3 linked regions of the Ovis aries genome follow. The protein of the gene in region 1 purifies or fractionates together with the protein of each later gene. This does not show direct contact. Links are inferred from orthologs where the notes say so. Each region holds a gene or a part of one and is shown on either strand. Other genes may lie near its edges.

Region 1 (3,745 bases):
CCTTGCAGTCCAAGGGACTCTCAAACCCCAATTTAAGTCAGGTCCACAAAAATTATTGGTCTGGGTGAAGGGCTACGAAAATTAAGCTGTGTCCTTGCCCTGTCTGAGTTCCCAATCCAGATTGCATTCGGCAAAACAAGCGTGCTGAGCAGGGAGTTTATATGAGGGTTGGGAGCACTGGGGACACTGTGGAACAGGGACCTCACCCTGCGAGCTGCCTTATAAACTCCAGGGCAGGGTCTGGGGCTCTGTGTCACCCTCCCTAGGCTTAATGCTGAGATGGCACTCCCAGGCGGCTGACATGAAAGCAGCCTCATAAAAGGGTCAGCGTCATTAGGGTGAGGAACCAGTTGGTACTTGGAGGTCCAGAGGGGATGAAAGGCGCGGTGCGAAGACGCCCTGCGTTCCCCAGGCTTGGTTGGGCAGGGCTTCCAGGGGCCGTTGAACACTAGGAAAACTGGATTCAAAGTGTCTCTTCTTGCCTTTCGCAGGAGGCGGCTGTGGACATACTCAAAGGTCGGGAAGGTATTAGTAGGGGGGGGGCTCTTTATCTCCAGAGTCCTGGGTCACCGCGTCCGTACCCAACTCAGACTCCCGGAGCATCACCAGAGACGCTCTAGGATTGGAAGTTGTTATGGCAACGAAGCTCTCGGAATACTGAGGAAAGCCGAAGCCTAGAGAGGCGACACCCTCTTATACCCTCTTCGGCCCCCACGGGTAAAGTGGCGCCCCCTACGCACAGGAACCGTCCTTGGCCCCCCGCCCCGGCGCGGAGACCACCCTGGGCCTCCGGGGGCGGGAGGCCGCTCTGGCCCGAAGCGGAGCCTCTCGCTGGTAGACCGGCCCGAAGGAGCCCCTCTGGGCGCAGCGCCGGTGAGCTGCTCGATGCTCCGACCGGAAGTGCTCTTCACCGCCGACCTCCCACCCGGCTCTTTGGTCCCGGCGGTAAGATGGCGGCTGCCGCTGAGTGCGATGTGGTAATGGCGGCGACCGAGCCAGAGCTGCTAGACGACGAGGAGGCGAAGAGGTAACTGGGTGGCAGGGTAGGGGAAGAGGCGAGCTTCAGCTCCATGGCTCCGGGAACCCCGTCCTTGCTGTGGTGCAACCCCTGTAGAGGCGATGCCCCGCCCTCCGAGACCCCCCCCCAATCTGAGATTAAGTCCGGATGGACCCCCTGAAGGGGCGCTCTTGGAGGTTTGCCCTCCTCTCCCGCTTCCGCCTTGCTGAGGAGCTGAGGTATGGCCTTGTACCCCAAGCAGAGAGGAAGGTCGTTCTCGTTGTAGAGGCCAGGTCTCTGAGGGGATCTTGGAGGTCTTTTGCGGGGCGGAGGAGGCGGCACCGCAATAATGCTGGCTTCTTACACCGCCCCCGACTCCCTCCTTCTCTTGTTAATTTCTTCTCTTGTTAATTTCTGTACCTTGTTGTCTATCAGCCCTTTGCATCTCCAGAGCTTTGGCTGTCCTCACCCCTTTCCTTCGTAATCGTAGCCCAGCGAGCACTAGTTGGGCCCGAGGTGACTGTGTGTGTCTCTATGATCGACCTGGTGGCCCTTCGGTTACCCCAGAAGTGGAAGGTGATAGAGAAAGAAAAAGAAGGGTGAGGGGTTTTGTCTCATGCTGTACACGTCAAACCCTCTCCCTCCACCCTTCCAAAGATCCTCATTCTTCCCAGGGCTGTTTTTTAAGTTAAGCAGCAAGGAGGAGGGCAGCTGCTTGGGCTGTTGGCGCTGCTGGGCAGCCGCAGTGGCTCGAGATTGCCAGTCCGGACCAGCCAAGGGAGCTGCTGAGTGAGTGGTTTTCGAGAACACTCTGGATTTTGGCTACAGCTAAGGCAGGTTATTGGAAGTGGGGCTGGAACACAGTTGTGGATAGTCATACTTGTCCTGAATATGGAGCAGAATTAACAAAAAGCTTCTGGAAGTTTGTAGCCCTTTCTTTATAAACTGCGAGTTAATTGACTACAGTTCCACAGTCTCTTTCCCACATATTTCTTATCTTTATATCAAGGCCATTCTGGCTTCAGTCTGGGTGGTTTGAGGTGGTGGTTAGTTCATGAGATCTGAAATCAGGATTCCGAGATTTTTTTTTTTTCTTTTTAACTATCCAGATTTGAAACAAGAAGTACTCAAGGAGGCAGAATGAATAGTTAACTAGCTTAAAGGTGGTTACTGCAGCCAATTGTCTCAAGTTCCTGACTTGTTGGGAGCTGAGAACCTTGACAAAATGTAATTTGCAGGTTAGTAGGTCCCTGGGATGGACTATATGTAATTTAAAGTGAATTCAGTATAAATTTCTGATGTAGGCACTGTCCCTAATTTGAGTTTCACATCAAAGCCCCTGTGTAAACCAAATCTTTTCCCTTAAAAAAAAGTTTCAGCCTTAGAGGATATTCTATCATGCTGCTAAGTCACTTCAGTCGTGTCTGACTCTGCGACCCCATCGACAGCAGCCCACCAGGCTCTGCCGTCCCTGGGATTCCCCAGGCAAGAACACTGGAGTAGGTTGCCATTTCCTTCTCCAGTGCATGAAAATGAAAAGTGAAAGTGAAGTCGCTCAGTTGTGTCCTACCCTCAGCGACCCCATGGACTGCAGCCTTCCAGGCTCCTCCATCCATGGGATTTTCCAGGCAAGAGTACTGGAGTGGGGTGCTTTTGCCTTCTCCGATACTCTATCATAAGAAAAGGTAAAACAGGTGCTGCTGTAATGTGACCAGGTGATAGCACTTGTCTGCTCAGTCTGACCCCACAGACTATAGCTCACCAGGCTCCTCTGTCCATGGAATTTTCCAGGCAAGAATACTGGAGTGGGTTGCCATTTCCTCCTCCAGGCAGTCTTCCTGACCCAGGGATCGAACCTGCATCTCCTGCCTTGGCAGGCAGATTCTTTACCACTGCACTGCCTGGGGACCCCCATCATACACACAAAAACACGATATTTGCAGGCAGTTAACAGAATAAGGAAAGGTGTTAACTCACGTTAACTGCCTTATTTCATGGAGTTCAAGATTTCATTGAGTGTAAAATACATGGTTGTTTTAGCTACCACTAAGAAAAAAAAGGCAATGGCACCCCACTCCAGTACTCTTGCCTGGAAAATCCCATGGATGGAGGAGCCTGGTGGGCTGCAGTCCATGGGGTCGCTAAGAGTCGGACACGACTGAGCGACTTCACTTTCACTTTTCACTTTCATGCATTGGAGAAGGAAATGGCAACCCAGTCCAGTGTTCTTGCCTGGAGAATCCCAGGGACGCGGGAGCCTGGTGGGCTGCCGTCTCTGGGGTCGCACAGAGTTGGACATGACTGAAGCGACTTAGCAGCAGCAGCAGCAAGAAAAAAACAAAAAAGCATCCTTATGAAATAGACTTGTATGTTAAACATATAGATCTTCTTATTTTTATTTTTTTTAGATCTTTTTAAAACATAATAAAATATAAATGTTTACTGTCTATCACATTAAAAAAGTCAAAAGGAAAATATAATGAAATAAGCAAAAATATCACAGTTTCACTTTGTGTCTTGTAGAACATCCTTAGGGGGGTAAATATTGGACTCTGTTAGTGAGAAAAAGCCTTGTTTATATGTAGATTTCCAATGCTGAAAATGGAGTGGTGACTTAGAGGTTTTGAGGAAAATGGTTTCGCATTTTTTATGTATTCTGGAGTCCTCCTGTGTATTCACAGCAGAGGGCAGGAATAGGTATGTCTCTTACAAATGCCCTTTACTATCTGACTTGGTTAGTTATTTGGC
Region 2 (3,745 bases), on another chromosome or scaffold:
AATGCAACACTACCCACTTGCCCAGTGCTCTATCTCTACTGCAGATTCTACGTGCAAACTTTTTTTTTTTTTTTTTTTGAGCTTATCTCTCTTACTAAAATGAGCACTACAAAACAGTGATTTTTTTAATTCCTCACTGCACTTCCCCAGTGCCCACATTATACCTAAAACACTACAGGGCATATTTGATTAATTAAGCTAGGTGCAAGACACTGTGTAACCTACCTGGAAGACAAGGATATAAACAGAAATAGACACAAGGCCCTTGTAGGCCCTACAAAATATGCCACGCATGTATACCAAAGTTGCTGCTGTAATTGGACACGCCTGGCCCATGGAGTAGTGACAGCAAATGAATTGGTGGACAGAAATGAGTGAGCTGTTTGCAAGCAGATCGCCAGAGAACCTTGACAACTCTTATCAGCCTGCAAGACCTGGTAGAGTTGGTGGAAGGGGGATGCCAGCAGAGGAAACATCTTGCAGGCAGGCCCAAAATAAAGGAGCCCACGTAGCTCAAGGAACAGACGAGAGTGCGCCTGGAGTTTGGTGCTGAAGGTGGAGGACAGGCAAAGAACAGATGGGAAAAGTAGGCCCGTCAGGTAGGCCCTGATCCCGTCTAAAGCTTCCAAAGGTCCAAGCAAGGGAGGGGGTTATCAAGGGAGGCATGCGATCTGCAGCGACCTAGGTTGCAATGTCTGAGAAAGGGGTCACAGAGCTGGGATGGAAGAGGACCCTGTGACAACCTATTGGCATAAAGGGCAGCTAAAACACAGGGAAGGGATGGCATTACCCAGCTGGGGGTGGGGAGGTGGGGCGAGCACAGCAGTGCCTAAGACCCTCACTCAAGCTCCCTCTAGACCCCAGACATACAGGGCCTTTGTTCCGTGAACCACGCACTGGCCCAGAATGAGATCATTTCTCTCTGACGCTCTAGCCCTTTCTGTTTCTCTGCAAGTACCTGTCCTGCCTTTCGCAAGAGGGCAACAATTTTAAGAACCGCCCAGGACGCCGCCGCCGCCCTCCAGTAGGTGATCAAGCACCTCAGTGAGGTCTTTTGTTTCCTTCATCCCTTTACCTCCGAATAACGGAGGCAGAGCCCCTTCATTAACTGCTAAAAACTCTACTGCACGAATGTGAACGATCCCACGCCACGGCCCTCTACCTGAGAGGTTCAGCGAGGGTGTGCGTCTCCACCGAGGAGATTGGCCAAGATATAATTCAGAGCCTGTCCTACCCGAGCCCCAGCGCCTTCACCATCACGCGGGATTTGGGGACACCCAGAACCCAATATTGGGACTCAGGGACGGGCCAGGGTGCGCTCCCGAGGCCGATCCAAACGGTCACCCCCACTGGCTGGGACCCTGACACTCCGGCGAAGGACCAAGACTCAATGCCGCCGGAGAGAAGCGAACTGCTTCAGACTGACTCGCCGCAGACCAACGGAAGAAGCGGCCCGGGCGGACCCACCAAACCCACACCCTCAGAAACCACCACTGCAGAGGGTGTCTGTGGCCTCGGACTCCCATAAGCCACCGATGCTGTAAAAAGCCTACCCTGCTCTTTGAAGGGCAGCAATTTAAACCTACCAGAGCAAAGTGTCTGCAACCACCGACCAATTGAAATTTTTTTAAATCTGAAGGCGGTTCTGTCACGGAGTCTGTCAGCCCAATGGGAGAGGTGGAAATTTCCAGAAAGAACAGAACCAATGGGCGCGGCCAGCGCGGCCATGATTGGCGGGATAAATGACCAATCGGTGCCGCAGAGGTCCGCCCCTCCCTCCAATCATAGAGTATATGATGGGTGGGGCTTTCAGAGCAACGTCCAGTCTCGAAACGCGGGGGAGGCAGGACTCTCCCCACTGTCCAATGAGAGAGAAGCAAAGATGATGGGCTAGACTTCGAGCCAATGGTAGGAAACCTTAGAAAGCCCCCTAGAGGAAAGCGACCAGTGAGCCGGCGAGGAAGAGGCGGGATCTGGGGGTCCCGGCAGCTTCTAGTAGGTTCCAGAAGGCGGCGCGTGCGGTTGGGAACGCGGAGCCGACGGAGTCTATTCAACGGGGTTCCGGACCGGGCTATGGAGCAGGTGAAGGGGGAGGGGCGGGCAGAGGCCCGTGGCCGCTCTGGGACCCGCCAAAGCCGGGCGGTGGGTGGAGGGGCGGGGCGGGCGCCCGATTGTTGTGGCCGGGGCGGGGGCCGGGGTCGGCGGAACCGCGGGGAGGGCGAGGGCGTGAGGGCCGCGGCGGGCGGACGGGGAGCGAGGCCTGGCGGCGGGGAGCGCGGGGTCGCCTCAGTGCCCGTCGCCAGTCAACTCGGCGAGATGGGCCGGGGGACGCACCGGTTCGGCTTAAGTCTGGCCCGCGGCGGGAAGAGGAGCCGCGGCTGGGCCCCTGAGGCCTCCCAGGACGTGGGTCCAGGCTGAGCAAGGGGATGGCGCCCGCGGCGTTCGGAGGGCTGGAGGTGGGCGAGGGGCCTTGCGAAGGGCGAGAGGGATCAGGTCAACCTCTGGGAATTCGTCTTTTGGGAGAGAGATCAGAGATTGCAAAGAGGTTGTTACCCAGGACTTGGCCCCAGTTAACTTGGAGGAACGCGGGGACGGGATTACACTGCAAGTAGCTGATGGACTCGGTAACCAGTTGCGGGGAAACCCTATTTCTCTGCATGGCAGGCCGGGGTGGAAGAGTGTTGAGTGAAGGTATGATGAGCAGCAGGCCGACTTCTTAGCTTGATTCGGGAAAGGAGAGGGTGCAACAGAAGTCCTTGGAATGAATTTCATCTCTGCCAGGGTTTTACAAATCGTATGTGCAGCACCTCCCCGTCTTCGTTTTTTCTTTGTGTGTGTGATTCAAGAATTAACCGAGGACTGGTTCTTCTAAAACGTGGGTTTTTAATTGCACGAGGAGGAGTTAGTTGCGTTAGAAAATTTAAAGTATATAGTTAAGCAGCGAGAAGTAAGTTGTTTGATTCCTTTCAGCGTTATTGGGAGGCTGAGTTTGAGGCTGTTGTGGGTTACTCTCTGTGAGTTAATTGTGTCCTCTGTGGCCTGAGGGTTGTGAGACGCCTAGAGAGGTTTATTGAATTGGAACCTGTTATTGGGCTGTAATGGTTGATTGGGGAGAGGAGGAGGAACAGCTCGGAGTTTTTATTGGTGTGATCTACAAAACGGAATCTTTTACCTTTGTATACCTATTGCTCCCTTTAGCCAAATGTGGAGCTTCTTTGCTAAATTTTTAAAAAATTAAGAGTGGAAAGTGAGAGTTTAAACATTTTGCACCCTCATGATAACTAAATTGTGTCTGGGATTGAATAGGCTGTGATATAGACAAGAAACTGGTTTTAAATTCAAGCAGAGATCTCAAACTGAAGTTATCAAAATACGGGAAAAAAATTTTGTTTTATCCCAGTTGCCCATAGTAGAAGTGTACATGCAGGTAGACCGAGTGAGTGAGCTCAGGGACTGCATGTTTACCAGGGCCATTGTGCAAGATGGCCAGGTGTGCTGAAACCCACTGTCCTGCATCCATTCAACATGTAACCTTTCTTTCCCTCTTAGATGCATGTTTCAGTTTTAGGAAATAACTCAAATTGGAGAAATTTTGAGTGTGTAAAATTGTTTTTTTAAACTTAAGTACCTTTCAAATAAAATCTCACAGTGATAAAACTTAAAATTTGACCACATACAGGCAGGCATAGAACTGGAAAAATTATGTGTCAGTTGATATAAATTTATTTTATCAGTTCAAATGCAC
Region 3 (3,745 bases), about 15 Mb from region 1:
GATGGGACCGGATGCCATGATCTTAGTTTTCTGAATGTTGAGCTTTAAGCCAACTTCTTCACTCTCCTTTTTCACTTTCATCAAGAGGCTCTTTAGTTCTTCACTTTCTGCCATAAGGGTGGTGTCATCTGCATTTCTGAGGTTATTGATATTTCTCCCAGCAATCTTGATTCCAGCTTGTGCTTCTTCCAGCCCAGCGTTTCTCATGATGTACTCGCCATAGAAGTTAAATAAGCAGGGTGACAATATACAGCCTTGACATACTCCTTTTCCTATTTGGAACCAGTCTGTTGTTCCATGTCCAGTTCTAACTGTTACTTCCTGACCTGCAAACAGGTTTCTCAAAAGGCAGGTCAGGTGGTCTGGTATTCCCATCTGTTGAAGAATTTTCCACAGTTGATTGTGATCCACACAATCAAATGCTTTGGCATAGTTAATAAAGCAGAAATAGATATTTTCCTGGAACTCTCTTGCTTTTTCGATGATCCAGCGGATGTTGGCAATTTGATCTCTGGTTCCTCTGCCTTTTCCAAAACCAGCTTGAATATCTGGAAGTTCATGTATTGCTTAAGCCTGGCTTGGAGAATTTTAAGCATCACTTTACTAGTGTGTGAGATGAGTGCAATTGTGCAGTAGTTTGAGCATTCTTTGGCACTGCCTTTCTTTGGGATTGGAATGAAAACTGTCTCCTTTTCCAGTCCTGTGGCCGCTGCTGAGTTTTCCAAATTTGCTGGCATATTGAGTGCAGCACTTTCACAGCATCATCTTTGAGGATGTGAAACAGCTCAACTGGAATTCCATTACCTCCACTAGCTTTGTTTGTAGTGATGCTTCCTATAGGAGCTTTATTCACAATAGACAAAAGCTAGAAACAACCCAAAATGCCATCAAGAAATGTCCATCAACCCATTCTTCCATCTAGAAGAGATAAAGGAATCTGCTTTGAAAAAAATGAAATATTTTGTCTTTTAGAATCTGAAATTTTTCCTGTTTGCCCCTAGACTGCTAGATTTAGAAGAGCAGTTCGTGTTAGTCTTGTTCATGACTGTAGGCTCGGAGTCTGGCGACGCGCAAGGACGCAATAAACAGTGAATGAATGAAAGAAAGCAAAGTTGCGCACGTTAATGAATCTGTGGGCACCACCTCTCCGGCCTTTTATCATTCCTTTCTTCTACAAACGCTGGCTAAGCCGGCCCGATGTGGTTCGCAGCCCGCCCTAGAAATGAGTACTGCCAGGTCCCGGCCCCGGAGGCGCGTCCCGCCAGGAGCGGCCGGAGACGACCCTGGGTGCTGGCGCCCGAGTGGAGGAAGGTCGCTGAACGCCCACAGGGCACAGTCCGGGCCCGCGCGGACCGACGGCGCGGGACAGACGGACAGCCAGGCGGACGGCGCCGCACGGATGCGAGAAGCGGGCGGCGCGGTCCAGTAGAGCTGACGGCGGCCCCGCGTCCCGACTGCGCGCAGGACGCCGGGGCGGGCCGAGGGCGGCGGAGGCGGGACAGGACAGACGAGAATCACGCGGAGGTGAGGCCGGGGGCCCGTCACGCCCCCGAGGGCAGGCCCTGAGCGCCCGCTCCGCCCTGGCCCTGTGGGGTGTGGACTCCAGCTCCGGCTCTGCTCCGCTCGCGAAGACGCGCCGCCGCCCGCTCGGGCTGTCCCGGTGAGGGGGCCGGGAAGGGGGCGCCACGGAGATCCCGGGCCCAGGAGATCTGGCTGGGACAGGAATGCGCTTGGGCTGCGGGGCCTCATGACTCAGCCGCATGCTCAGATTTCGGGGTTTCTTTCCTGGGCGGGGAACGCTTAACTTCCTCATTCCTGCCTGGACCCCTTCTTCCAGCTGGCTTGGCCTGTCTGGAGACCCGGCGGCTCCGGACCCCTTGCAACCCTCCCGGGGCCCCTTCCTCTGCCCCGCTTCGGGGCCCATCCGGGCCTGGCCGGTTGTTCCTTGGCATCCTGATTAAGGGACAGGAGGCGGGGCTCGGAAGTTTTGGATGAAGGATCAGAGATAGGGGATGGAGATTAGAGGCGAATTGGCAGGGCAGTGCGGACCGATGGATTCTAATCAAAGAGAGATTAAGTCAGCGGGAGCCGGGTGGGGGAAAGCGGGGGACCTGGGGCGACCGAGGACCGTGGGGGTGGAATGGGGGGATAGAGTTCTGCAGAGCGGATCACCGTTCTGAGGCCTCCCCATATTCCCAGGATGGCGGCAACCCCCCGGAGCCTTTTCCCCTCTGGGGATGACCTGGACTCCAGCCAGTTACAGATGGAGCCCGATGAGGTGGACACCCTGAAGGAGGGAGAGGACCCAGGTACACAGGGAGGACGGTCTCCGGGAGAGGAGGAGGAGGGCTGAGACCTCCTGGAGTCCACATTCTTCCACTTTCTTTCCCACCAGCCGACCGGATGCACCCCTTTCTGGCCATCTACCACCTCCAGCCTCTGAAAACGCACCCCTTGCTGTTTGCCCCTGGGGTCCCCGTCATAGCTCAGGTGGTGGGCACTGAAAGATACACCAGTGGATCCAAGGTGGCTGGGCTGGCCCCAAGGGAGTGGGGATGGGGAGGGCTGGCCAGAGTGAGGGGCTGCCTTCCCACCAGGGAACATCCATTCAGTTCCTCCCTCCCACAGGTGGGCACCTGCACTCTGTATTCTGTGCGCCTGACTCACGGTGACTTCACCTGGACAACCAAGAAGAAGTTCCGTCATTTCCAGGAGCTGCATCGGGACCTCCTGAGACATAAAGTCTTCATGAGTCTGCTCCCTCTGGCTCGGTGAGGGGGATAAGGCTGCCTCCTGTGTAGGACAGATGCCCCTCACCTCGAGGCAGCCGGGGGTGTCTGCCCCAGCCCCCATCGCTGCTTTCTGCCTGTCTCATCCCCAGGCCACAGCTGACCCTACCCCAGCTACTTTCCTCCCCCAACTCTGGCCACTGGGCTCCCTCTACCTCCTCTGACCCCAGTTACCAGGAAACCTTCCCTGTTCAGCTCTGCCTGTCTGTGGTTCTGGGCCAGTATCTCAGCTGGGCTGGATGCCCAAAGTGCCCTTGGCAGCCTCCCACCTTTTTCTGTCTCCATCCTCAGGGTAGGGGGCATTCCTGCTGCTACCCTCTAGGTCTCCTCGCCTTTTCCAAGTCCCCGCCTCCAGTGCTTCAGGATCCCAGGCACTGAGCCTCCAGCTCCTATTGACCCTCCCTCATCCCTTCCACAGTTTTGCTGTTGCTTCATCTCCAGCCCCAGAGGGAGACAGCAGAGAGATACCCTCTCTACCCCGAGCAGGTCCTGAGGGCTCCTCCAGACGTACCTCTAGCAAGCAGGTAGGACCAGACACCAGGTCCTCTGGGAAGGTGTTTGGGTGCAAATGGCTCTGGTCCCATCCGTCTTTCTGTCTCCCATCCCTTCACTTCAGAAATACCTGGAGAATTATCTCAACCGCCTCCTGACCATGTCTTTCTATCGCAACTACCATGCCATGGTAAGGTCAGGGGCTGGCGCCGGGTCCCTTGAGATAAATCAGGGGGCAGAGGACCAGGGTTGGTAGGATTTGAGGGACTGACAACGAGTCTCTCCTCTGAGCCTTTTTCTTCCTCTGCAGACAGAGTTCCTGGAAGTCAGTCAGCTGTCCTTTATCCCAGACCTTGGATGCAAAGGATTGTGAGTGTCTGACACTTTTCACCCACCGTCTGCCAATGTCTGAATCTCTCCCTCCCCGAGAATAGGGAAAGCAGGGCAGGGTGGGCTGGGAGTCT

Evidence for each region. Proteins that work in one complex are often made in the same cells at the same time.
Region 2: the proteins of DNAJC7 (region 1) and STIP1 purify together in Homo sapiens (affinity purification with mass spectrometry; 4 studies listed by BioGRID and IntAct, with this or other methods). This does not show direct contact. The link is inferred for Ovis aries from reciprocal best matches to the Homo sapiens genes DNAJC7 and STIP1.
Region 3: the proteins of DNAJC7 (region 1) and PLD2 purify together in Homo sapiens (affinity purification with mass spectrometry; 3 studies listed by BioGRID and IntAct, counting the BioPlex papers as one, with this or other methods). This does not show direct contact. The link is inferred for Ovis aries from reciprocal best matches to the Homo sapiens genes DNAJC7 and PLD2.

Annotation. Positions count from the first base shown.
Region 1 is NC_056064.1:41,897,099-41,900,843, reverse strand, and holds the start of DNAJC7 (dnaJ homolog subfamily C member 7), read left to right. Parts: upstream 1-935; 5' UTR 936-950; coding exon 951-1,027; exon of another isoform or gene 1,028-2,235; intron 2,236-3,745. UniProt on the Homo sapiens protein: Acts as a co-chaperone regulating the molecular chaperones HSP70 and HSP90 in folding of steroid receptors, such as the glucocorticoid receptor and the progesterone receptor.
Region 2 is NC_056074.1:38,944,541-38,948,285, forward strand, and holds the start of STIP1 (stress-induced-phosphoprotein 1), read left to right. Parts: upstream 1-1,079; 5' UTR 1,080-1,905; coding exon 1,906-2,082; intron 2,083-3,745. UniProt on the Homo sapiens protein: Acts as a co-chaperone for HSP90AA1. Mediates the association of the molecular chaperones HSPA8/HSC70 and HSP90.
Region 3 is NC_056064.1:26,431,872-26,435,616, reverse strand, and holds the start of PLD2 (phospholipase D2), read left to right. Parts: upstream 1-1,588; 5' UTR 1,589-1,660; intron 1,661-2,199; 5' UTR 2,200-2,200; coding exon 2,201-2,309; intron 2,310-2,395; coding exon 2,396-2,526; intron 2,527-2,628; coding exon 2,629-2,771; intron 2,772-3,207; coding exon 3,208-3,313; intron 3,314-3,405; coding exon 3,406-3,471; intron 3,472-3,591; coding exon 3,592-3,650; intron 3,651-3,745.